Drosophila melanogaster: one gene and its partners. The protein of the gene in region 4 purifies or fractionates together with the protein of the main gene of each other region. This does not show direct contact. Each region holds a gene or a part of one and is shown on either strand. Other genes may lie near its edges.

The links.
Region 1: the proteins of CG3815 (region 4) and east purify together in Drosophila melanogaster (affinity purification with mass spectrometry, with the first as the bait; one study listed by BioGRID). This does not show direct contact.
Region 2: the proteins of CG3815 (region 4) and Ask1 purify together in Drosophila melanogaster (affinity purification with mass spectrometry, with the first as the bait; one study listed by BioGRID). This does not show direct contact.
Region 3: the proteins of CG3815 (region 4) and Sin3A purify together in Drosophila melanogaster (affinity purification with mass spectrometry; 2 studies listed by BioGRID, with this or other methods). This does not show direct contact.

The regions. Positions count from the first base shown.
Region 1 is NC_004354.4:2,010,627-2,015,645, forward strand, and holds the start of east (enhanced adult sensory threshold), read left to right. Parts: upstream 1-2,016; 5' UTR 2,017-2,031; intron 2,032-2,494; exon of another isoform or gene 2,495-3,159; intron 3,160-3,715; 5' UTR 3,716-3,895; coding exon 3,896-5,019.
Region 2 is NT_033777.3:19,877,950-19,885,721, forward strand, and holds the start of Ask1 (apoptotic signal-regulating kinase 1), read left to right. Parts: upstream 1-1,769; 5' UTR 1,770-1,974; coding exon 1,975-2,094; intron 2,095-2,166; coding exon 2,167-2,361; exon of another isoform or gene 2,362-2,933; coding exon 2,934-3,112; intron 3,113-3,534; coding exon 3,535-4,432; intron 4,433-4,488; coding exon 4,489-4,827; intron 4,828-4,893; coding exon 4,894-5,696; intron 5,697-5,759; coding exon 5,760-5,906; intron 5,907-6,246; coding exon 6,247-7,146; intron 7,147-7,206; coding exon 7,207-7,479; intron 7,480-7,544; coding exon 7,545-7,772. Other genes in the region: Arc42 (Activator-recruited cofactor subunit 42), read left to right, coding at 50-259, 328-1,301.
Region 3 is NT_033778.4:12,586,146-12,591,048, forward strand, and holds the start of Sin3A (Sin3A), read right to left. Parts: upstream 3,008-4,903; 5' UTR 2,571-3,007; intron 1-2,570.
Region 4 is NC_004354.4:6,293,662-6,299,485, forward strand, and holds CG3815 (uncharacterized protein), read left to right. Parts: upstream 1-1,727; 5' UTR 1,728-1,844; coding exon 1,845-1,892; intron 1,893-2,048; coding exon 2,049-2,239; intron 2,240-2,302; coding exon 2,303-2,987; intron 2,988-3,047; coding exon 3,048-4,570; intron 4,571-4,641; coding exon 4,642-4,831; 3' UTR 4,832-5,309; downstream 5,310-5,824. Other genes in the region: CG15892 (uncharacterized protein), read right to left, coding at 1-83, 149-477; CG15891 (uncharacterized protein), read right to left, coding at 943-1,392; CG12219 (uncharacterized protein), read right to left, coding at 5,636-5,824.

The DNA of each region.
Region 1 (5,019 bases), 4.3 Mb from region 4:
GGGGCTGCCGGAAGTTTTCTTTTTATCCACCTATCGCCGATTGCTCTTTGCTCACTTCGCCTATCGCTGCTTCTTCTTTGCTGCGTGGCGTTTTCGTTTTGTCGGCCATTACGTTTTCCAATTGCCTTTGGCGCAGCCACACACAACACAAAACACACAAAGCGTGTGTGTGCGGCTGCCAATGTAGATGTACATGTTGATGTGCGCCCGCAAAGAAAAATCGTTTTCTAGGTGGAATTATTCAAGTGGGCGTCGTGCGAAAGTATTTCCGTGGCGAAAACTAGTTTAAGAATCGCGAGATTCACCCAATCTTAGTCAGGATCAAAGGAGAAAGGTAAGAAAGACGCCAGGGCGGGCAAGCAACTAGGATAATCGATCGCAATGGCCTTGGTTACTAGTTGGTGATGTCAGTGGCGACGGAAATGGAAGTCCTGGCCACGCACTTGACCCAGTTCGGGAAAATCGCTTTTCTAGTCCCTCCAGAAGCGGCCGAATGGAAAGCGGGCGGAAGAACCATGCATAAAGCTATTGATTTTCCCTCATTTCCCAAGCAATTAAGGCCTTTGCCTTTAACCCAGTTACACGTACATATATCCATATGTACATAAGAACATACAAATGTCGGCATCTACATAATCGCAATGGTCCTTGGGCGGGTGCGAAAGTGGATAAACGGGAGAACCCTTGAGAGCGGGTGGGAGTTGGGCTAAGGACGTCGCCTGACACTTGCAGGATTCAGATTCAGATCTAGCCGCCTGCCGCCCTCCCTTTCGGGAAATGGAAGCTTGTGAAACGTGCAACAACCTACGCCACAGCATCACAAGTTGAGGAAAACCAGGGAAAATCCGCAGGAAAACCGAAAAGGAGTAGGGCAAGTCTGGCGCTCGGTGGTGGCGCTCGCTTCTTCCCAATTACCACCCCCGAATCAACGACATGTTATTTTGCCGAGTCCTTTTTTTGCTTTTTACCGACGCAGAAAAAAAGACGCATCAGCAGCACCAACAACAACAGCCGACGTCGCGGCGAAAAGAGCGAACAAACATTTGCCAAAAACAACACGTACACCGGACGAAAACGCACGTCGACCTGTTCACTTCCCTACAAAAACAGAGTTGCGAAACATCCCAAGTGGTAACGTCAATCCTTTTGTTGCAATGAGTGCAAAACAATTTTTAAAACAATTGTATTTATTGACTATTTTACTTATTTTTATTATTATTTTTTAAGTGCATTGTCAGTTGGAATTTCAATGTTCCCATTATTTATAGAAGTTGACCCAGCAAATGTTTCAATTTACGCGCGATTATGCTTTTTAATATGACTGACATAAATCAAATCTGTATAAATGCAAGATATGAAAATTATTAATTTCAAAAGCATTCCCAAGGGAAAAGTAAAAAATTAAAAGTTTAATTAGTCAGGACAAAGCTATCCGAATGCAACTTCTTTGAACTCATGATGGCGACGAGGAATACATCCTGGCGACGGCAGGACAGGCAGCCCTCCCCGCCGCCCACAAGCAGGGTTGCATGCACGCCAAGCCAAATCCGAAAGCAAATCGGGGCCGATAGTGCATAATATCGTGCGGCGAAGAGCGAGACGAAGAGTCGTGGCGAGTTGTGGCGAATTGAGGTTTTGCGCCGTCGGGCCGAGCGTCGCTCTTTTGCTCTTCATCTTGGCTCGTTATTTCGCTTCGCACCGTGTTTGCGTTCACAACTCTTGTTCGGGTTCTGCATTTTATTTTATTATTATTTTTTTTTGTTTGTTGCTATTCGGTGAGTACCTGCGGAAAAGTAAGGCAAGGCGATGAATGAAAGGAACAAAAAGGAAAAGAAAACGAAATGAAAAGCCATGCAAAGGGTTTTCCTCGTCAACTCGCTTGTTTGTGTTTTGTGTGCAAAGTGCCTGGTGAAAAGATGTACTCGCCGTACTGCCAAATGAGAAAACGGCAGGCGTTCGTTTATTAATGCTCGCGTTCGTATTTTTGCGAAAACCTGGTGAAAAAGAAATTTTCTGTGCTCGCTACTGCCTGTGAGTGTGTGTGAGTGAGTGTGCGTGTGCCTGTGCGCTGCTCGTGTCTGTGTGCGCTCGCTTTGGGTGTGCATGTACGTCACTGCCACCCATTTTTGTGTGCTGTTCTGGTTCTTCGTCCCGTCTCGTGTCGCCTCGCTGTTCCCTCCTAGCCGTCCCTTGCGGTTTTTGCTGCAACTCTGCGGAAACTCTCCACGAATTCCCCCCTTGCCTAGCGCACGAAGAGGATGGCAGCTCTGCCAATTCTTTGGTAACTTTTCCGCCTAGTGAAAACTGCTGCCAGTTTCCGTTCGCTTCAGGTACTCCGCTTCTTCCGTTCCGTCCAACTGACTGTCTGCCCGTGTTTACAATCGCGGCGTTTTTGCACACTGTGCCGTGCGTCTGTGTGAGTTCTACTTGGTGGTATATCTGTGTACATGTACACACATCGATACGACAGCGGAGTCTTCATTTTGTTATTGCCATTCTCTTTCACTTCCTTTTCGCCTGCTTTGTTGCTGTCGTCGCTGTGACAGTTATGCTAGTTGTTAGTGTGCGTGTCGTGTCCGTGTGAGTTTTCCGCGTTTCTTCGCCGGTGCGAACTGCAATCTGAAATCTCGCACTCGCGCTAAAATGGCGCATGTCAGAATCGAAATTAAAATCATAAGCCAAAAGCTACTCTGATCGTCAGGCCACGAAGAAGCGGAGAAAGAAGATGAAGAAGGAGGACCAGCAAGCGGCAACAGCAGAAGCAGGATACCTAACCAATTTGAGGATTATTCAACATCTCATCGACTCTTCAGCTTCTCTTCTCAGCCTTGCCCAGTTGCTGCTTCTTCCGACTCTGCTCTTCTCTCCTCTACACGCCACTCGTCTCCTCTGCTCTTTTCTCGTTTTGCTTTCCTCGCATTCTCGCAGCTCCCAGCTGCTGCCAAAACTTGTTTTCAGCAGCGATAGAAAAGAGGGGCAATGGAGCTGGACAGTGGCTGGCAAGGAGAAGAGGGGGTTTCTGGAAACCGCAAAAGCATGTTTAATGTTCTAGTCGCGTTACTGGACTCCGAATCGGAATCGAGTGAACGGATCGGATCGGATTGTCCTGGGGATTGAATGAGCTAAAAGGGGCTAAGAGAGCGGCTTACTTTCGGCCAGGTGAAAGCCAGGGCCATAAAACTAAGTTTACCACATTACCGCTTAGGATTTCGCTTCGGCTCAGATTAGCTGTTATACTGAAGTTTGGAGATTAAAGTCCTTTGATAATATTCTTTTAGTTGGATTGAATCGACTTAATAGTTGATTAGTTTGGAGAAAACACAACAATGTTGAGTTACAACTAAAAATTTGATTTATCTAAGTGAGCATATACATTATGACTTAGCAATCCAAAGGCTTATCAAAGTTTTCAATGCTTATCAGGGATTTTACAGGTGGGATGGGATTTCCATTCACTTAACAAGTTTGAATTTAGAAGATAACGAAAATATTTTGGTCTTCCAGAACGATTTTATAAGAGCATTATAATTAAAGTTGAAAGGATGCAAAAGAAACCCAGAATGGCGTTTCTTTTTGTTTTTTAAATCTAGTGCAGAATTTAACCTACTTCTGGGTTGAGCTGTTTTTGCTTTGCCAATTAGAACGTTATTCCCACATGGCGGATTAGTAATACGACTTAGTAACTTTCTTTTTCCCCTTCTTCGCGTCCTTGCAGATATTCTTCACATCACAGTCAACCAATGGGACCAAATCACTGCGACTCGAACTGGACACAATCAGCATCGGATCGCAGGGAACAACAGGAGGTGGTGGAGCAGCAGCGCCAGAAGGCGTCGGGGGAGCGGCCATCATAGGAGCAGCAACGTCGGCAGCAGCTGCCCAGGGCCCCTCGAGAATGTCTAGCCGGAAGGTGCCAGGAGGCTCTGGAGGAGCTGACGAATCCACAGCAGCAGCTGCCCCCCTGGATGATAATGCCAATGCCAGTGTGGAGATTCCAGACAGCAGCGAGGAGCCAGCAATGGGCGTCGGCGAAGAGATGTCTATCATAAGCAAAACACGCACCTCAACTTTGTCAGTGGAGCCCGCTAAGGAGCCAACAGTAACAGCAGAGCTGGAAGGCGAAAAAGAGCTGGAATCGAATCCAGTCTCCAAAACTCCTAGGTCCACGCCTACGCCAACCCTTACGCCAGCCGTCACGCCTACCGCCAGTGATGGAGTGGCGGCCAAGAGCGTGAGGGTTACCCGGCACTCGTCGCCACTGCTTCTGATCATCTCGCCCACGACAAGTAGACGTGAGGTCGGCGACGGAGAGCTAGACACCGAGGAACCAACGGGATCGGGTGGCCAAAGAAAGAGCTCCGTGGAGCGATCTTTGGCGCCCGTTATACGCGGACGAAAGTCCATCAAGGATCTGAAAGAAGCCAAAGAAGTCAAGTCCGAGGAGCCGCCTGCCGCAGCATCAGAGTCACGAGCTGCAAGTGGAGTGACGCCTGGCCAGGTCAAGGAACAGCATGTCGCGGATGGCAACGAAATGGAATCCTTGCCAATCACAGACAAGAAAGACCACAAAGACACAAAAGACAAGGGAGATGAGCGGGAAACCGATCAGGAGGAAGAGAAGGAAAAATCAGCTGATACAGAAATAATTGCAGATACAGAAAAAACTTCGGAGAAACAAAAGTATACAGAGAAGGACAAAGCTGCCGATAAAGATGGAGGAAAAGAAAAAGATATTGATGCAAATAAGGATATAGATAAGGAGAAGGAAAAGGTCAAGGAAGTACTTCCGCCAGTGGTGCCTATAGCACCAGTGACACCCACTTGTAACCGTGTCACACGTAAATCACATGCCCAGGAGCAGGCGATTAACACGCGGGTCACTCGCAATCGTCGCCAGTCCTCTACAGTTGGAGCCAACTCCACCGCGTCTTTGGTAGCTGCATCCTCCTCAGTAACAGAGCAACCCCCTCCATCTCGCGGTCGACGGAAGAAGCCAGTGGTGGTGGCTCCTCCCTTGGA
Region 2 (7,772 bases), on a different chromosome or scaffold from region 4:
TTTAAATGTTTTCTATAAGCAAGATCCTAAACCAGATATTGATATTCAGCCCGCAGATCTTTAAATGCTCGTCAAATTGCCTCATTGTCGGCGCTTTCGGAGACGCACCAGATGCTGCAGAAGTCCTGCCGGGACTTTGCCAACAATGAGCTCAGTGGAAACGCAGCCAAGTTCGATCGGGAGCACCTGTATCCAGAGAAACAGATCCGCCAGATGGGCGAACTGGGCGTGATGGCAGTAGCGATTCCCGAGGAGCTGGGTAATTAATATTACGCCCACCTCAGCCCTCCTTATAGTATCTCATTGTATCTCTTTATTGTTAATCAGGCGGCACTGGACTGGATTATGTGGCCTACGCCATTGCCATGGAGGAAATCTCAAGGGGCTGTGCCTCTGCTGGCGTCATCATGTCGGTGAACAACTCCCTGTATCTGGGACCGCTTCTCTCTTTCGGAAACGATGCCCAGAAGAAGGACTACATCACACCGTTTACCACCGGCGAACGAGTGGGCTGCTTCGCGCTCTCTGAACCTGGAAACGGATCCGATGCTGGAGCTGCTTCCACCATAGCAACCGACAAGGGAGATCACTTCGTGCTGAATGGCACCAAGGCCTGGATCACAAATGCCTTCGAGGCGGAGGCAGCCATTGTGTTCGCCACCACCAACAAGCAGCTGAAGCACAAGGGCATCTCCGCATTCATTGTGCCCAAGGCTACCAAGGGCTTCTCGCTGGGCAAAAAGGAGGATAAGCTGGGCATCCGGGGATCTTCGACGTGCCAGCTAATTTTCGAGGACTGCGTGGTGCCCAAGGAGAACATGCTGGGCGAGCCGGGTTTCGGTTTCAAGATTGCCATGCAGACGCTGGACGCCGGCCGCATAGGAATCGCTGGCCAGGCGCTGGGCATTGGTCAGGCTGCCCTCGAATTGGCCGTGGACTACGCCCAGAAGCGACAGGCCTTCGGCAAGCCCATTGCCAAGCTCCAGTCCATCCAGCAAAAGATCGCGGACATGTCGTTGGCCATGGAGTCGGCACGTCTGCTCACCTGGCGCGCCGCCTGGCTGAAGGACCAAAAGCAGCCCTACACCAAAGAAGCTGCAATGGCCAAGCTGGCTGCCTCGGAGGCGGCCACCTTGTGCTCCCACCAGTGTATCCAGATCCTGGGCGGAATGGGCTACGTGACCGACATGGCGGCCGAGCGTCATTACAGGGACGCCCGCATCACTGAGATCTACGAGGGCACCTCCGAAATCCAGCGACTGGTGATCGCGGGCTCCATTCTAAAGGAATATGCTAGTTAAGATCAAAGTTATATATCCGTACTACTTGTGTCTCGTTTAATAAAGAACGTTTTTAATATACTATTTTGCTAGTTCTATTGAGTTGTATAATTGTTTATAATAGATAGAAATACATGAAAAAAACACCTACAACATTTTAATTCTTTAGAAAAAGTTAGCAAAACAATAAATCTTCGTTCAAAAAGTAAAGTAAAATAAGTGAAACTCTTGACTACTTTTTAGACGTTGCATATTTGTAAATTAATTAAAATAATGAACCTTAAGTGCTTTTAAAATATATTTATAAACAAAGCTTATTATTTTATATGCCTAATTATATTATATCTTTTAAACCAAATTTTAAATGACTCAAAAAAATGGGAACTTGGCGCCAAAACTGCAGCAAGGCTTTGTCGGTTAGCATATTTGTGTGGTATTTTTGTGACTTCATTCGGTATATTGCTGGTAGCTGTGCAGCGGTCACACAGCAAAAGCAAAAAGTTTCTTTATTTATTTGATAATTATTCGTTACGCGGTAATTAACGCGATGCAAGTGCAGCAGGAACGTGGTAATGAGAGTTTTTGCCACTGAGCTGCGCGTGTCGGCCGTCCAGAAAGTGCAGAAATCGCGTGAAGTGCGCGAAATCCGTCCAAGAGCAGAAAAGTGCCAAGAATAGCTGCGATGGAAACAGCGATGGATGTGGTGTGTGTAATGGATACGGCGGTGGGCGACCATCTGGAGGACCGCCAGTGTGCGCTGGAGGAGATCAAGCAGGCAGTGCAGTCGGCGGGCGCCAACTTTCAGCGGGTTCAGGTGCGCCAGCTTGGTTATACAATGGCATATGGGTGATTTGACTTACATCCCCCCCACTTGGCATCCTTGCAGTTCGAGCGCCTGGACTTCGGCGAGACGAATGTGCTGGAGACGTTTTACAACGCCGATGTGGCCATTATCGACCTGAGCATTCTCACCCAGCAGCGGCCGCTTTCCTATCACTACGGCGTTAGGGAGAGCTTCGGGATGAAGGAGAACATCCTCACCTACAACGACATCGATTCCAAGCAGACGCTCAGTCTCAAGGTGCGTTCGGAAGTGTTTACCTGGCCGGGCGTGCCTGGCAAACATCTGCGTTCGTGATCGGGAATCCGCTTCCGATAAGATAAATGCTATGACCAGCAACTGCGTGGACTCCTGGACTAGTTGTTCTTGCTGATCTTTCTACAGTCGAGCTTCCACAACGCGAACTGAGTTTATAACAAGTCTCTAACCTAGGTGCTTAGACACCTCTTTCTGGAAAATGACTAAAAATTATTCTATCTACTAGTCTTCCTTTAGCAAATTGCAAAAGAAACCGAAAAACTTCCTCTTTCCAGAGGTTAATAACTAAAACCTCTTTCCCATATGGCAGCCAATAATTTGAACTATGGAAGTTCGACTGTATTTCCGTCGAATCGTTTTCGTTATTTTTGTTTTGGCTGCGGCCATAAAGCAACAAAAGCATTGGCCCAGCAATAACAATAACAAATGCGAGCACGCCCACGCAAACACTCAAAGAGGCACGCACACACTAACAGCACGGTGTACACCAACGCAGCGTGGCCTGCATTCACAGTGGCGGTCATTAAATTAGGTACACTCTACTCCCCTTGCAGCTCTCGTGTGCCAACTACCTGTTTCTCAGCTACAAGCGGAATGCGGAGACCAATTCCTGCCACCTGACCAGCCAGCCCAACAGCGGCAACAACAGCAAGGAACCCAATGCCGAAGGACGAGTGCCCACTTTGCAGTGGCGCCTCAAGCGAAAGCTGCAAGATGTTGAGATCCAGTCGAAGTGAGTACAATCTAGGGAGTCCCCTTTTGCAGTAAGTCATGCACGGTGATTGCATATCGGAACACTATTTATAACATCCCCTGCGGCAGATTGGCTGCAAAAGTCACGCCCTGCATCTAAAATGAATCAGACCGATTTATTGTGTTGGCCTTGGAATTGCATATAAAATATCAATAATCGCTGAAAATTCTTAAGTCTCTTTATAGTATCATAATTGTCCTTTCAATTTAAATTACTTCGAACTTTAGTGATACTACTACGGGTTAACAAGTAATGAAATGAAAGTAATTGAAATCTTAAATTTGGTGTACCAGATAGATGCTAAGTTAATTAGTCTTTCAGCCAGAGCACGAAACACTGTTCCTATTATGCATTATTTGTGTACCTAAAAACTAAACGAAGCTATTTTCGGTTATTTACAGAGCCCACATGCGTGAGAAATTTCTGAGTGACATGCGAACGGCGCGGGACACGTACGCCACCAACGGCGCCAAGCTGCAGAGTATATTGCACGAGATGCGAAAGCGGCTGGACGATCCGCATGTCCTGTCTGGCGAAGTGGTACACAGTTTCATGTGCTCGCTGAGGGATGTGCAGGACTACGATGCCATGGTGCGACTGGTCAATGACCTGAAGAACATACCCAACACCCGGAAGTACGTGGAGACGGGCAACATGAGTTTCCTGTACGCCTTCGCCCTGAACCGAAGAAATCGAAAGGGAGACCGTGAAAAGGCTCTGGAATCTTCGCTGAAGGCGCTGGAAAAGAAGGAGAACCACTTTCCGGACATGCTCTGCCTGTGCGGCCGCATCTACAAGGACATCTTTGTGGAATCCGACTACACGGACGCCACCAGTTTGGCGCACGCCATCAAGTGGTACCGCCAAAGCTTTGAGGTGCAGCCGAATGAGTATGCAGGCATCAATCTGGCTACTCTGCTGGTTATCGAGGGCAAGGAGTTTACCAATACGGAGGAGTTGCAGCACATCGGCATGACCTTAAACAATTTAATCGGTAAAAAGGGCAGCCTATCCTCGCTGAGTGAGTATTGGGATGTGGCCACCTTCTTTGAGATCTCCGTTTTGGCCAACGACTACGCCAAGGCGATTCAAGCTGCCGAGTGCATGTTCAAGCTAAAGCCACCCAACTGGTATCTGAAGTCGACCATCGGAAATATCTCTCTTATACATCGATTTCGAAAGAAGCCCGAGGAACGCCAGCCGCCCATCGAGGAGCAGGTGTTCCAGTTCTGGATGGACTTCTTTCTGGAGGCCACCAACACCGAGGAGGTTAAGAACAGCATTCGCTTTCCGATTCTGGTTGGTACCCCTGATCTGCAGTTTAAGCTTTATTATTAACTCAAAACAAATTCCAGATCCTCGAGCCTCAGAAGATTTATATGCCCAGTTATGTGACTATAAACATGGATGCGGATGAGAAGTCCATTCAGATTGTGAACATCTGTTTGGCTCACGCAAAGAATGCGTGTAAGAAAATCCACGACTTCCTTTTCGTGGCATCGAAGATCAAGTCCGTCAGCCTTTACAAGAGGGATGATCGTTGTGCCTACTTGTACGTCCATCACAACTCAGATGATTTTCAAATATATTTTCCCTCCACTGAACGACGACAAAAGTTCTACGATATGATCCTGGAGATGACTGCAGATCAGGTGGTGTTTGTCAATCTCAGCAATGATGACGCTAATATCGAGGTAAGTTATTTATTATTCATATATACATATATTCCGGCCACTTTTGCTAATTATTATTAATTGTAGTACGAGTACGACTACGATGAGCAGAATCGCAAAATGGTGCTGGGCAAAGGTACTTATGGCACCGTGTACGCCGCCAGGGACAAGCAGACGCAGGTGCGAATCGCCATTAAGGAGGTGCCGGAAAAGAACTCGCAGGATGTGCAGCCACTGCACGAGGAGATTAAGTTACACTCTCAGCTGCGACATCGCAACATAGTTCGCTATTTGGGATCGTGCTCGGAGAACGGCTTCTTCAAGATCTTCATGGAGCAGGTGCCGGGAGGATCGCTTTCCGACCTCTTAGAGACCAAATGGGGTCCGCTCAAGGACAACGAGTCCACCATGGCCTTCTACTCCAAGCAGATCCTCGAGGGGCTGAAGTACCTTCACGAGCAGGACATTGTTCATCGCGATATAAAGGGTGACAACGTGCTGGTTAACACGTATAGCGGCGTGGTTAAGATCTCCGATTTCGGCACCTCCAAGCGGCTGGCCCGCATCAACCCGATGACGGAGACCTTTACGGGCACCTTGCAGTACATGGCGCCGGAGGTGATTGACCAGGGAGTACGCGGCTATGGCCCGGCGGCTGACATCTGGTCCTTTGGATGCACAAACGTTGAGATGGCTACGGGCAAACCACCGTTTATCGAGCTGGGTAGCGCCCATGCGGCCATGTTCAAGGTGGGCTTTTACAAGAAGCATCCGAACATACCCGAGGAGCTGTCCGCCAACGCAAAGAACTTTATTTTGCGTTGCTTTGCCATCAGCGTGATGGACCGACCCTCCGCCTCGCAACTTCTGGAAGATCCCTTCCTACAAGAGTGAGTTTGCTTAATTGTTTTGCCTAATTCCTTTCTAATTGCACTTTTAATTTTCTCAATAAGTAAACCCCGCAAGGTGCGCCCAGCCCTGCCCATCAATACTGAGTTCGGACGCAGCATTTCGGTGCCGGCTGATCGGTTTGTGCACAAAACCACACCGCCGCTGAGCTACAACACAACCTGCAATACGCCCACAACGCCGGAATTGGAGTAAGTTAAACGCTGCGACTATTCTTATCATGTTCGACCTTCCTCAATTACAAGCAGAGGTTATCTTATCTGTTGAAAATTATCATTTATATTTTGCTAATTTTAATGAATATAAAAATTTTTCCGTGCTTCTCTATATTTTCCCATATCGTCTACTATTATAAGAGTAACAAGTGCCTTTGCTTATCGTGTAGTTAACACATTGATTGTTGCTATCAGTAAAGTGCATATTTAATGATTGGAAAATGCGCACTCGGATTTTGATACTGAGAAGAGATAGCACTTGATGTATTGTAAAATAAACGTAATTTTATATTGTACTTTCTGTTTCCTATTTCAGCATAACGCATTCATCCTCGGTGGACATTGACGAGCTGCCCAGCAACCAGTTTATGCTTGAACGGCGAAATTCCCATGGATTTTTGCTCTCGCCAGAGATTGAACCTTCCACGCCGTCCTTGCGTACGAGCATTAGTGAGACGAGCGAGACTGACGGTTTTTACAGGCTTAAAAAGGATTCGCAGAGGCGGACAACGCTTTCCAAGGTGCTGGCACTAGACGAATCCAAGATCTGCGATATTTGGCTGAAGAAGGTCGACGCTGATCAGAACTCGATTGCGATTAGGAAAAGCGATTTGGAGGTTCTAATCCGAGGACTGCGGGACTACATTATGAACGAAAACGAAAAGCATTTGGAAGCGACTATCAACGAACTGAAACAAAAGCTGAACAACGACGCAGTTGCTCTGGACCATCTTCATTTGGCGCTGTACTCCTTTCAGGACGCCGTGGTCTGCGTACTGCGGTACCATTGCATCAAACCCCATTGGATGTTCGCATTGGATAATCTGGTTAAGCGGGCCGTCCAGGCGGCGGTCACTATTTTCTCTCCTGAACTGGGCGCCAATCTGGCGGACAAAGACCTGTCTGGAAATGATGATGAGAGCTTGCGTACAAGTCTAATGCAGAAGGGTTCCACCGAGAGCCAGGAAAAGCAGAGCCTGGAAAAAGTTCTTCCCACGAGCAACACTCGCGAAGGTGTGGGATTAACGCCTGCGGAATCGGGCGGGGATGCTCTGTCCAGTTCGATGGAGTGCGCGCGCATCCTGAGAGACATCCGTGACAATCAGCAGAAGCTGCAACGCCAGCTCCTTGAGCAGCAGCGGCAGAGCATGAGGGCCCTGCATAATATCAGTCAGGAGCTGGCTCACATTTACATGGGCGGCAGAAAGAGATTAAGGTTGGTAAACCAAGTAGGACATTGTAAATTTTATTATAATTCACAATTTCATCTTAACAGACGCACAATAAACGGCTTTAACAAAAAGTGCCATAGAATGAGTACCAGTGTGGGCGGAACGTCCGGAGTCCGTCCGAATATAGCGGGCAATCCCCGGAGGCAGCTAAACAAGCATCACTTTGGTCTTCACGAAGTAGACGAGCAGTTGGAGCAGTGGTTGACCCAGCAGGAAATAGACGAGTTCTCAAAGACGCTCATCCTGAATGAAGGTTTTACATTTGACGACTTTATCTATAACATGGAAAAGCTGGACCTCATGAGGCTGGGTCTGCGGTGCGTTAAAGCTTATAAGAAAAGTACACTTAATCCATGCTCAACTAACTTTTGGTATTTTGCAGCGTTGGCATCGAAGTGCGTTTGTGGAAACTCATTATACAAGAACGTGTGTGCACCTCGTCCGATTGTGTGGACAGTCCACCAAGCACTTACCACAAACCCATTGGAGGCAATAGCTCTTTTGCGCTTATTGACAACAACAATACGCTACCATCACCCACAACCACAACTCCCGGAACGCCGGGCATCAAAACGAAAATCAAGAAAAGCGAAAGCGAGTACGATTCGTG
Region 3 (4,903 bases), on a different chromosome or scaffold from region 4:
TTAGGTTTGGGTCTATTTTTAATGAAGTTAGTCATCATTAAATTCTGCATTACTGGAACAATCTTACACATTAATACTAGAATTTATTCACTGACACTGAAATGAAAGGACAAATATGCCAAATATACTTTTCCATATATTAAAGACCACGAGTCTTGCTAATTTTCCCAAAACATGTTAGCTAGTATAGCACAGCTGATTGATCAATTCGGTCTATATCTTCACAGATATCGGAACGATTGCATATTTCAACAAGAAAAAAGGTGAACTAAAAAGCCACGGGGGAATTCTTCTTTTAGCCGTATCACAAAAACTACAGAGTGGAGAACGGTGTCTCTGTATTGGGTGTTCTGGATTCGGGGGAGAAGAGTGAGATGAGGGACAATAGGAATGGAATGAAGCAGTGGAGCTGTGACCAATAACAACAACAGCAACCAGAGATTGATACATATAGACGGGAAGGAGATCGTGGAGTGGAAGTTGAGTCTTGGAGGAGAGTGAGTGCAAGGCATAAGGAGGAGCGCGTAATTCACTTTAGTGTGTGTACGTTCAACCGGAATTGGGCGCGCGCTTTGTTATTGCTTTCAGCGGTACAGTAAAAACTTCCTAAGCGAGCTTTCTGTGTACACCTCCGAGTGTGTGTGTATGTGTGTACATATCAGTATTTGTGAATGTGGAAGGTGCCAAATGCCCCATGCACGACATCGGCTTGCATAGAATTCAGACGCACACATAGAAAATATTTATATATCGATACCGCCAAGGGGGCGGGCGGGTGGTGTGTGAGAGCTGCTGGTACATGTTCTGTATCTACAACTTACAAGAATAAGAAGAAGAAGAGTCAGAGGTAACAGCAGCAGCAAACGCAACAATGCAAAGGTGGTGGTGGCGATACGGTGGTGGTGGTGCAGCCACAGAGAGAACCAGAGAGAGCCGCATTTGTTGTTGAGGCGCAGTATATGGATGATTTTTTTTTTTTCAAAAAGGTATTTCACCCGTTTGGGGCCAAACTCACACACGGACACAGCAAGCATTTGGCGGGCATTCGAGAGAGAGAGCGGCAAAAATGAAGAGAGCGCAACGCTGCGCAAACCAAAGACCGCGAGCAAATATTAGGTGAATGGAAACCGCCTAGAGGATCATCCTGCTCCAACTAATTGAAACACCCCATCGAACCAACAGCTGCCCCCTTTTAGCATTTGTAAACAAATATTGGAGCACAGTACAGCCGCACAAAAGCTTTAGCCCTCGTTCTCTCTCCTGTCTCTGCCACCACCAACTATCCTTTAATAAATGAAGGTAAAACAAGTTCGCTCTTTTGAGCTCTCCCAACTGTCTTTGTTGTTATTGTATTTTTGGATCCGCCATTAGTGCATACCAAACACATTTACTCGCTTGCTGGTGTGTGTGAGTGTTTGACGAGAGAGGCTCCAAATTGGGGCGTTGTGTGCGTGTGTGTGCTTTGGGGAGACATGTGGGCAAATTTTCCCTCCATTTTTTCTTTTTTTTTTTTTTTGATTCAGCCCGCTCTATTACGTGCACACGTATAATGTTATCTTATCTGTTTTGTTATGTGTATACACAGCACAGCAGAATACGCAACACAAAAGGCAGCCAGCGGAAAATATGTTAAATTTTTTGCAAATATCACTAGCACTCGGTTTTGAACAACTGCAATACGAATCGGAATCAACGCGAATTAATATTTAGTTTTTTACTGTTACTTTCTCACTCTGGCGCACTAACACAGCCGCGGAGTGGCGCTGCGCTATTAATAAATTTTGCAAATAAAACATATGGATGTGTAGAGAAATATGTACAATATATTCACATACATATATACTATTTCAGCATGAAGAAGCAACGGCAAACGTTTTGTGTAAATTCAAAACCGAATGAAAAAAAACAGGCGGAGCAAGAACAACAAACGACGGATGGGCTGGGGAGCATGAAGAAGAGGAGCAAAAGGAAGATCTGAACAAAAAGAGGGCCACAAAATGATGCTCTCATTGGGGAGCCATTTAAATGCACACTCACACTAGGCTGCTCTCGCCAGTACATGCGAATGGCGCATCAAAGCAAAAGTCAAGATAAGCGCACGAACTGAGCAAAGAACGAATCAACAACGAAAATAAAACGACACTACGTTGAAAAAATACAGTCAGTTCATAAGCGAACCAAAAGCAATGGTTCAAAGCGTATGTATGAGTGTGGCTCTCCTCTCCACAACTGTGTTCAACTGTGTGTGAGGAGAGCAGAAACTGTAGAGGCAGCAGCAGCAGCAACACAAACAACAACCACGTCCCCGTCGACGACTTTTTGTCTGTGCGCCTTCTATATGTATTCGCTATGCCATTGTTGTTTGTGTGTGTGTGAGTTTGTGCGTGCGTGTGTATATAAACCAATTGAAATTGACCTAACCTAAAAATGTTGTATTTTCACAAGTTTTCAGTGGCACGAACGAAAATATTGTTTGAACTCGAATCCGCACTCCAAGTGCACTTGAAGGATAATGCTACTCTGCAATTTTCACGCCCCCCACAACCGCCCACCGCCCATATTACACTTACATCAGCAATAAGCAGTTAGCTTCGTCGGTTGATATTCGGCTGTGTGTATGTATATTCGAAATGTATGTATATATGTACGGGGCGCGTATGTATATTTACTACAAAACTGCCGTTGGTTTTGTGGTGTTATTGGAAACTTTCACGTTTTACGCAGTATTTTGCACATGCAACTACTATATTCGCACTCACTGGCACACCGAAATCTTTATTTTCACCGTTTTCTTTTCTTTCAGTAGCTGGGGCTTCGTTCTCCAGTTCAGTTTAAGTTTAACGCTTATTTCAATCAATTTGCACTTGGCTCTAAGACCTTAACTAGATCACACGGCTCGAATTTAAGACATTTTCTTCTCGATAGATTGCTACTGCTATTCTATTCACAAATTTTTGGCGAGAGAACGTTTTCGTACATCTCAACGCCGCCGCAAACATTTTCGATTAAAACAGCGAAACGCGACGGCCAGTCATTTGGAGTCAGCAGAGAGAGCGAAATGAGTGTAAAACGGAGAGCGTGAGAGCGCGCGCGCAGTGTTGCTTTGGAATTCATTTTATTCTGCTGCCGCAGCTAAAACAGGGTGGCAACTCAACGGCGCAACAACTAAAATCCTCCGTCGAGCGCGTTGAAAACACATCAGTAGCTGACGGCAAAAATAGTTTATATACCATTCATTACCTATTAGCAAATAATCACAATCAGTGGTTATTTTTATTAGCGGTGAGCGGTACCGCATGCAAATAGTCGCAAAATGGCGCTTAGAATTTGGATAAGAAACGAAATACGTGAGGCTTACGTAAGTGCGAGGACCAACAACAACGCTGGGAAGAGAGAAAACAAGTTGTTTAGAAAACAGGGTGTACCATTGTCACCCAGCCATGTGGTGGAAACGATGATCAGAACATCTGGGTAAGACACCCTGTTTGAGCCAAAGAGAGAGAGCGGGTGTGAGAGCAGCGCACCCACACAAGCGCAACGAGTATACAGCAGATAGCGACGTCGGCAGAGCGTTTTAGCCGACCATTGCAGTACATATGTGAAATCGACGAAACCGAAAATCAGAAACCAAACGGACCACTAGCGAGCTACAACTCTGCCACGGCTACACTTTACACACTCATGTACTCCTCCACCACCTCACTCGCCAGCGCACTCACACACAGACGCGTGCGTGCGGAGAGAGGAAGTAAAAATATGAAGACAAAAAAAAGCAAGTGCATCTCACCATGACAATGGCGGAACCATAAAAACACATGTTCCCATCTCGAATCGAACTGAATTCGGCGGCCAGCTCCTTCACAAAATAAAATAATACAGACAAAAAATCTGTATACGCGCAAAAGTTGAGCTGCTAAAACATGGAAACCTTGCAGTTATCGATTCGTCTCGCTCATTGCGCAATGAAAAAAATGCAGCGGGGGCGGAGGATACGAGAGAGCCTCTCTCTTTGTGAGACACCTGCAGCGATAGGAAATGCAAATCCGCCTTCCACTTTCCAGCTCGAAAGTTCAAAGTTCACATGCAACTAACTAGCTACTGGGTGCAGCGCATGTCCGAGGTGCACCAAAGTCCCTGGACCAAACAAAAAAATGGCACAAACCAAACTCTCCGACTTCCAGGCGCCGCAGGAAGGTTTGTTTGCCCTCCCATTGGGTATTATTGATGCTTTTTTCTATTGATAATAAAGCCAGGTGGTCTAGCATGTTCTAATTATTCCTGTGCTAATTTCAGATCTGTCATGGAATGCGGCACTAGGAAATATTAACTGACGCTGATCAAGTGATATCTGAAATGTGGTAAAGAGGTTCCTGTCACACGGACCCATTTCTATAAAAAAAACTAATTAGTTTGATATTCGTACGTGTTCTGCAAATTATCAGATGTTTTTAACTCTCTTGAGTCACATGATATTTAATGTGATAAAAACTTTTTGTTATTTATTGTTTGTTTGTCCTAAAAAATTGACAACACAGTAAATGGAAAACTTTACTATAAAATATTTAACTTTAGTATTAATTCTCATCAAAACTATAAATCCATTTAAGGATTAGAGAACCCTCTTCTTTATGTAAAAGATTATACACAAATTTACCGGTGAGCCAAAATGCGTGTTGGATCAAAATTAAGAGCAATTAAAAGGTTTTTAAATTAAAATAACGATTATAAATTTGGGAATAGGCTTACACGATTGAACACAACGGCTTCAGTGTTGTTTACTAATTCAATACTTATTGAAATGATAACATAGTATATTTAAACATACAGTTTAACACTCAAGTTTTAATAATATAATGATGAAGGCTTGAAAAAGTTACAACTAAATATGTGTAAAAGTGTTCAA
Region 4 (5,824 bases):
AGTACAGTTCCTGCTTGCGCTTCAGGAAATCCTCCTTCTTTCGCTCCTTGGTCTTGTTGCTCTTAAGGATCTGCTCCAGCTGTCTGTTTTTGGGAATGAGATGAGATGATTAGATCGCGTTAGCAACTGATGCAAGCGCTGCACTTACTCCGTGGTAATGGCTTTGTATTTGCCCAGCATGCGCTTGATCCGCTTGGCCCGCAGCTTCGGATCGTATACATCCTTGAACTGCTCGTAGTTGTCGATGAGCGTGTGCAACTTGGGCTTGGACAGGGCCACGTCGTAGGGCTTTACCTTGGGCGGCAGTGTCGGCTGGTAGGCCATGCGCCGCACATACAACTCCAGCTTGTCCAGTTCCTCCTCCCGCCGCTTCTTTACGTTCTCCTCTGCGCACACATCCGGATCCTCCTCCTCGGGCAGCGACTCCGTCGACGTGGGCATCGGCTCATCCCAATCCGAGACATTGGAGCTGGCCATGGCTGAAGAGTACTACACGGAACTGAACTAAACGAAACGAAACGGAACGGCTCGTCTCGGCTTGGTAAATTTGTACGTATTGGAAATTTAGCTTTGAACTTGGTTACTTATAAACACAAAATAATGTTTCGAAATCTTTTTTGTGTACGAAAAATTTGGGTAAACGGGAGCACTAACAATTTTATGTATTCACGCTGCGATAGTGGATCACCTTATGAGCAGTCCCAGTTGAAATGTGAGCGAGGTAAAACCAAAGGACTACTTGATAGTCAGAAAAGTTCTACATGTTTTCAAAGAAATGGAACATTAATTGTATGGCAACAAGATTAAGGAATTCCAATGACTCACACCACTAACAAGCAAAAGAGCACTGCATATGTGGTTTACAATTAAATAAGCAACGTTTTATTATATGTAATGTAATGTAATGTATGAATATTAACCAGTGGATCTATGGATCTAAAGCTAGTAACACTCGTTCTGCACGGATCGCTCCAGGGCGAAGGTGTACTCCTCGGCCAGCTCGTCCACGGACAATTGGCGCGTTAGTAGCGCCAATATGCTGTCCACCTGCATTTGGGTGCTGGTGTAGCGATCCTTGTTGGCCAATCCGGGTGCCAGCTCGAATGGAATGTCCTGCAAGTAATTGACGGGTCCTTGGGCTCCGGGCTGCTTCACTTGATCGCTGCGCGGTCCTGGCATCGGCGGATAGGGCAGATAGCCCGCTGGCGGCATAGGTGGATACATGGAGCCGGCTGGAACACCCGGATGAGGAGCATCCGGTACTGGTTTGCGCTCTATGAACACGAAATCATCGACACTGGTGCCTGGACGGGTTGCCTCCGCCGGTCCCTGGATGGGCTGGTCATCCGTGGGCGTTTCCGCGGGCTTGCGTTTGCCAAATATCGAAAACATTGCACTATTTTGTTCTATTGTTTGGTAAAATCAACTGGCAAATTGCGTCGTCCGCCAGCTGTGATGCTCTTTTAGCGGGCGTTGGTCCAAAACAGCGAGTGCTAGCTAGTGGTGTGCCCAAAAGATGTAAACATATAGGTGTCTATAGTGAGGTCTGAGCGAAATATGAGAATTTTGGGTATTTAATTTTTAACTATTTGTTTGCTTGGGTATTTTTCGGTTACGAATGTGTATACCCAATATAAACTTTATTAATTGCAAGTAGTTAGATTTGGAGTGAAATGCAGTCTGCACTGAATTTCCGTTAATCGCCTATCGGTGGGCGCGCAGTGTGGCCATTCGCTCGTCGGATGCGCAGGGCTGGACAACCGACACTGCGCCCGCCTCCGTCGCCAAGTGAAGTCGCTCCGAGATTGATTGTGTACACCGGATAAGAGGAGCGAGCGAAAAAGATGTCAAAATTGGACCAGGACCCGAACGCCTCACTGAGCATCATGGAGGTGAGTGTGCCGCCGGGACGCCATTCAGAGCTTCAGTGTGTCCACTGCCCGGAGCTCCAATTCCAATCGGCGGTGGCTACTCTAGAGCTGCCACATTAACGCATTCACAACTGTCTCCATTTCCCACATTTAACATAACTTTACTACTTCGCGCAGCAAATCAAGCAGCTCATCCGCCCGCCGCCCAACGAGGACGAGAAGATGATGCAGCGGTCCACCAACACGAAGCATCCGTACTACAGGCGCCCGGGCAGGGGCCACAACCACGACTATTGTGACGCCTGCGAGGAGGGCGGCAATCTGCTGTGCTGCGATCGATGCCCCTCCAGCTTCCACCTGCAATGCCAGTGAGTATATACACGCGCATATAGCTGCTCATTTTGAGTGCTGATTTCGTGCTTTCGCCACAGTGATCCACCGTTGAGCGAGGAGGACATACCCAGTGGCCAGTGGCTGTGCCACAGCTGTCGCATGAGCAAGCTCTCCCAGCCGCCGGCCTCCTCATCCAAGGCCAGTTCCGTGGAGCGTGTGCCTTCGGCGGGCAGTGGCTCACGGGCGAATACTCCATCGTCTGGCGATCTGGAGTCCATACCGCTGAAGATCCGCAACCTGCGCAAACGCAGCAACAGCGAACGCAATAGCACCGAGAAGCTGCTGGCCAAAATGCCGATGTCCATACAGCGCGCCCTCGATCCGAACAAGAAGCCAACGCCGCTGGACGATGTCATCAGGGCGGCCACCATGATGAATCCGCAGCAATTCTCGCTGCCGCCGGAGCTCGAGCTGCACACCCAGTTCCCGGGCAATGGCAAGGTGCAACCCGTACAGCAGACGCATCCGCCGAGCGGAAATGGCGGTAATCGCAGATGCGCCGGCAATCAGCGACGCAACTCCAAGCCGTTTGAGCTGGATGCCCAGGGACTGGTGCCGCTGCCCGCCAAAACCTGTTTCTACTGCACGCGCTCCTGCAAACGGGCGCCGCTCATCTCCTGCGACTACTGTCCGCTCTACTTTCACCAGGATTGCCTGGATCCGCCACTGACGGCACTGCCAGCTGGATTGTGGATGTGCCCCAATCATGCCGAGAATTTTATCGTAAGTCAGCCAACGCACATGGAGGTCTGCTTGGGTTCTAATGAGGATGTCTGTTCACAGGATGCCAATATGACCAATAGCATTTCGGCCACGGAGCGGGTGCGTCTCTGGAATCGCTTCCACCAGCCACTTGACCATGAAAATGTCAAGCTTGAGTTCTTCCGGCGTGTCAACACGCGCAATCCGCCCTTTCGCACCAAGAGAAATCTGCGTGCTCGCGCCCACATCGAGGTGCCAGCCATTGTGCGCTACCACTACGATCATCCGCCGCCGCTGTTGCCCTCCATGCGCCAAACGTTGCGCTACGATCGGGTAAAGCGGCGCAATAACCTGCCCACCGAAGTCGAGGAGATATCCCGTGAGTCGGTCACCGAATCGCTGCTCAAGGATCTGGAGGCCTTGCGCACGGCTCACGCCAAATTCCGTGAGATTCAGAGGGAATTCGGAACCTTGGAGACGGCCATAGATGGCGATAGCGACAGCGATCCCAGTCCTGAAGAGAAAAGGACCGAGACGAACACTCCCGCCGATAAAGTGAATGGCGAAGTGGATACGGAGAATCCCAATACAGAATCGAATGCGCAGGCCAGCGAACAGCCGTCGGTTGTCAAGGTGGAGTCCAAGACCAGCCTAGAGGTGGAGGCTAGCTTCGAGGAGGACGAGGAGGACAGCAAGAAATCAACGGGTATTATCGATGCAGACCTCTTACACCTGGACGTCGATATAATCAAGAAGCTGGCGCACCAGCGTCTGCAGCAGCTGGTCGAAGAGCATCCGGAGATTGTGACACAGTACAAGAATCGCACGGCCGCTCGTCGCCTGCGTCAACTGGCGTCAGTCGATGGCACACATGTGGCTGGCGAAACTGCTGCCCTGCAAGGCCAACTGGCGCCGGAGGATATGAACCGTTTCTCGCTGCTCTTCACCAGCGAAACGTCCTCAATTCTGGCGCAAAAGAATGGCAATGCCGCCGACGAAGATCCCGCAACGGCCCTGCATCCGGCACTGGCCACAGCGGCGGCCATTGCAGCAGCAGATGCCGCTGCCGAAAGCTATGCGCCGCGTGCCCGTAGCGACACGGAGAAGGCATACGAGCTGGCATCGCGCCTGGAGCTCAAGCTGCTGCAGTGCAAAGTGCAGGCGCGTGCGGTGATAACGCCACTGGGCGACATGCTCGAGGATAGCCGCTGGTTCAGTTCGCTGGGGCTGGACCATTCGATTTTCATGCGCTACCGCACGCTGTACATTGGCTACGGTGGACACTATTCGCCATCGACGACGCTGGCGCAAACGGAGACCGTGGACCTGTCGGCCATTGGTTACTGTTGTCGCATTTCACCGCAGCACGCCATCATCTTCTACGACGAATTCTCCAAGTCGTACGAGCTGATCAATTACTCAGAGTTTGGCACCGAGGTGAATGGACAGCTGTATGCCTGCGACGTGACCGAAAGGATGACAACGCACGCCGGCAAGCCGATGCGACCTGACGATGCGGAGCTGAAGAAGCGCGTCGATGAGATGCTGGACAAGCGTCGGAACATTAATCGCCAGTTCGAGACGAAGAAAATCGACAAAGAACGGTAGCTATAGTTTATTTGCCCAACTTACCCAATGATGATGATAACCACTTGTTGATTTAATCTCCCCGCAGATTGGCGCCCATTGTTAAGCCCGCCTGCCGCTGCATGAACGCCGGACCAGTGCCCATGGTGGATGGCGCCTGGGAGGGATCGGCGGTGCTGGCTCACGGCAGCCTGCTGCGATTCGGTTGCCTGTCGTTTGTGTTTGTCGTGCCGTCGGTGGATCTGCTGCAGGCGCAGGCGCGCAGCAAGCGTTCGTAGAACCAGTACCCAGACTCCATCAGCAGAAGCAGCAGCCTTTAGTTTAAGCATTAAGACACAGAAACATATACGCGCTCAACCGCAGCCAACTCCAGTGGAGCAGCACCAATCTCAGTGGGGCAGCTAGCAGCCAGGCATAGGGTTAGGGTTAGCAGATACCAGTTCAACTTCATCGCATCAATCATCGCAATGCAAAGCCTCGGCAGTACTTTTAAATCACACAATCCTCCAATCCCATCCAGCATTAAGGGTATATATTTGCCTTATGACCAGTGCAATAAATACGGAGTACAAACCACGGATGTGCACGGCTGCAGGCTGATCCATGCCAGTGGGCAGTGGATCTCTGGTATCAAACGCCGTATTTATTGAATTAACCATTACGTTCATAAATCGCATAAACCCGCATCGCATACTTTACTTTTATTGTAAAAACAGATGTATAAATTGCTAAAACGAAATAAACTTGTAAGATCAGAGATTTTTTCACATGCAAATGGATCGATGGAGCCACCAATTAGCAGTAAGCCCCGCCCAATAAGTGCACATGACTTTTAGTTTCTTTTGAAATGAATGTGTTTACTTTATAACCAGATCAAATCCAACTGGTTAAGGCATTATAGAGAACGAGAAGAGTATACACAATAGGTGCCAGGCGGCGGGACGCCTTGACTTTGTGGAGTACACGAAACGTCGGATAAGTACATTCGGTATGGCTAATATGCAAAAAATATATATGTATATATTTGTAATTGTAAAGATCTAAGACTACGCATGCACCGCGTCCAGGTGCCGGCTGCCATCCTAGAGTGCGGCCGCAGGACCCGGCTGAGCCTGTGCCTGTGACGGGTTGGTGTGCTGCATCTGCTCCTGGACGCCAGCCTTGGCCGCCGAGCGCGTGGCTCGCGATCTCTCCCATTCCGCTTTGTGCTTGCGCTTAGTGTGATGGTACATATTCGACTTGGAGCGGAATTCCGTGGGACAGAAGGCGCA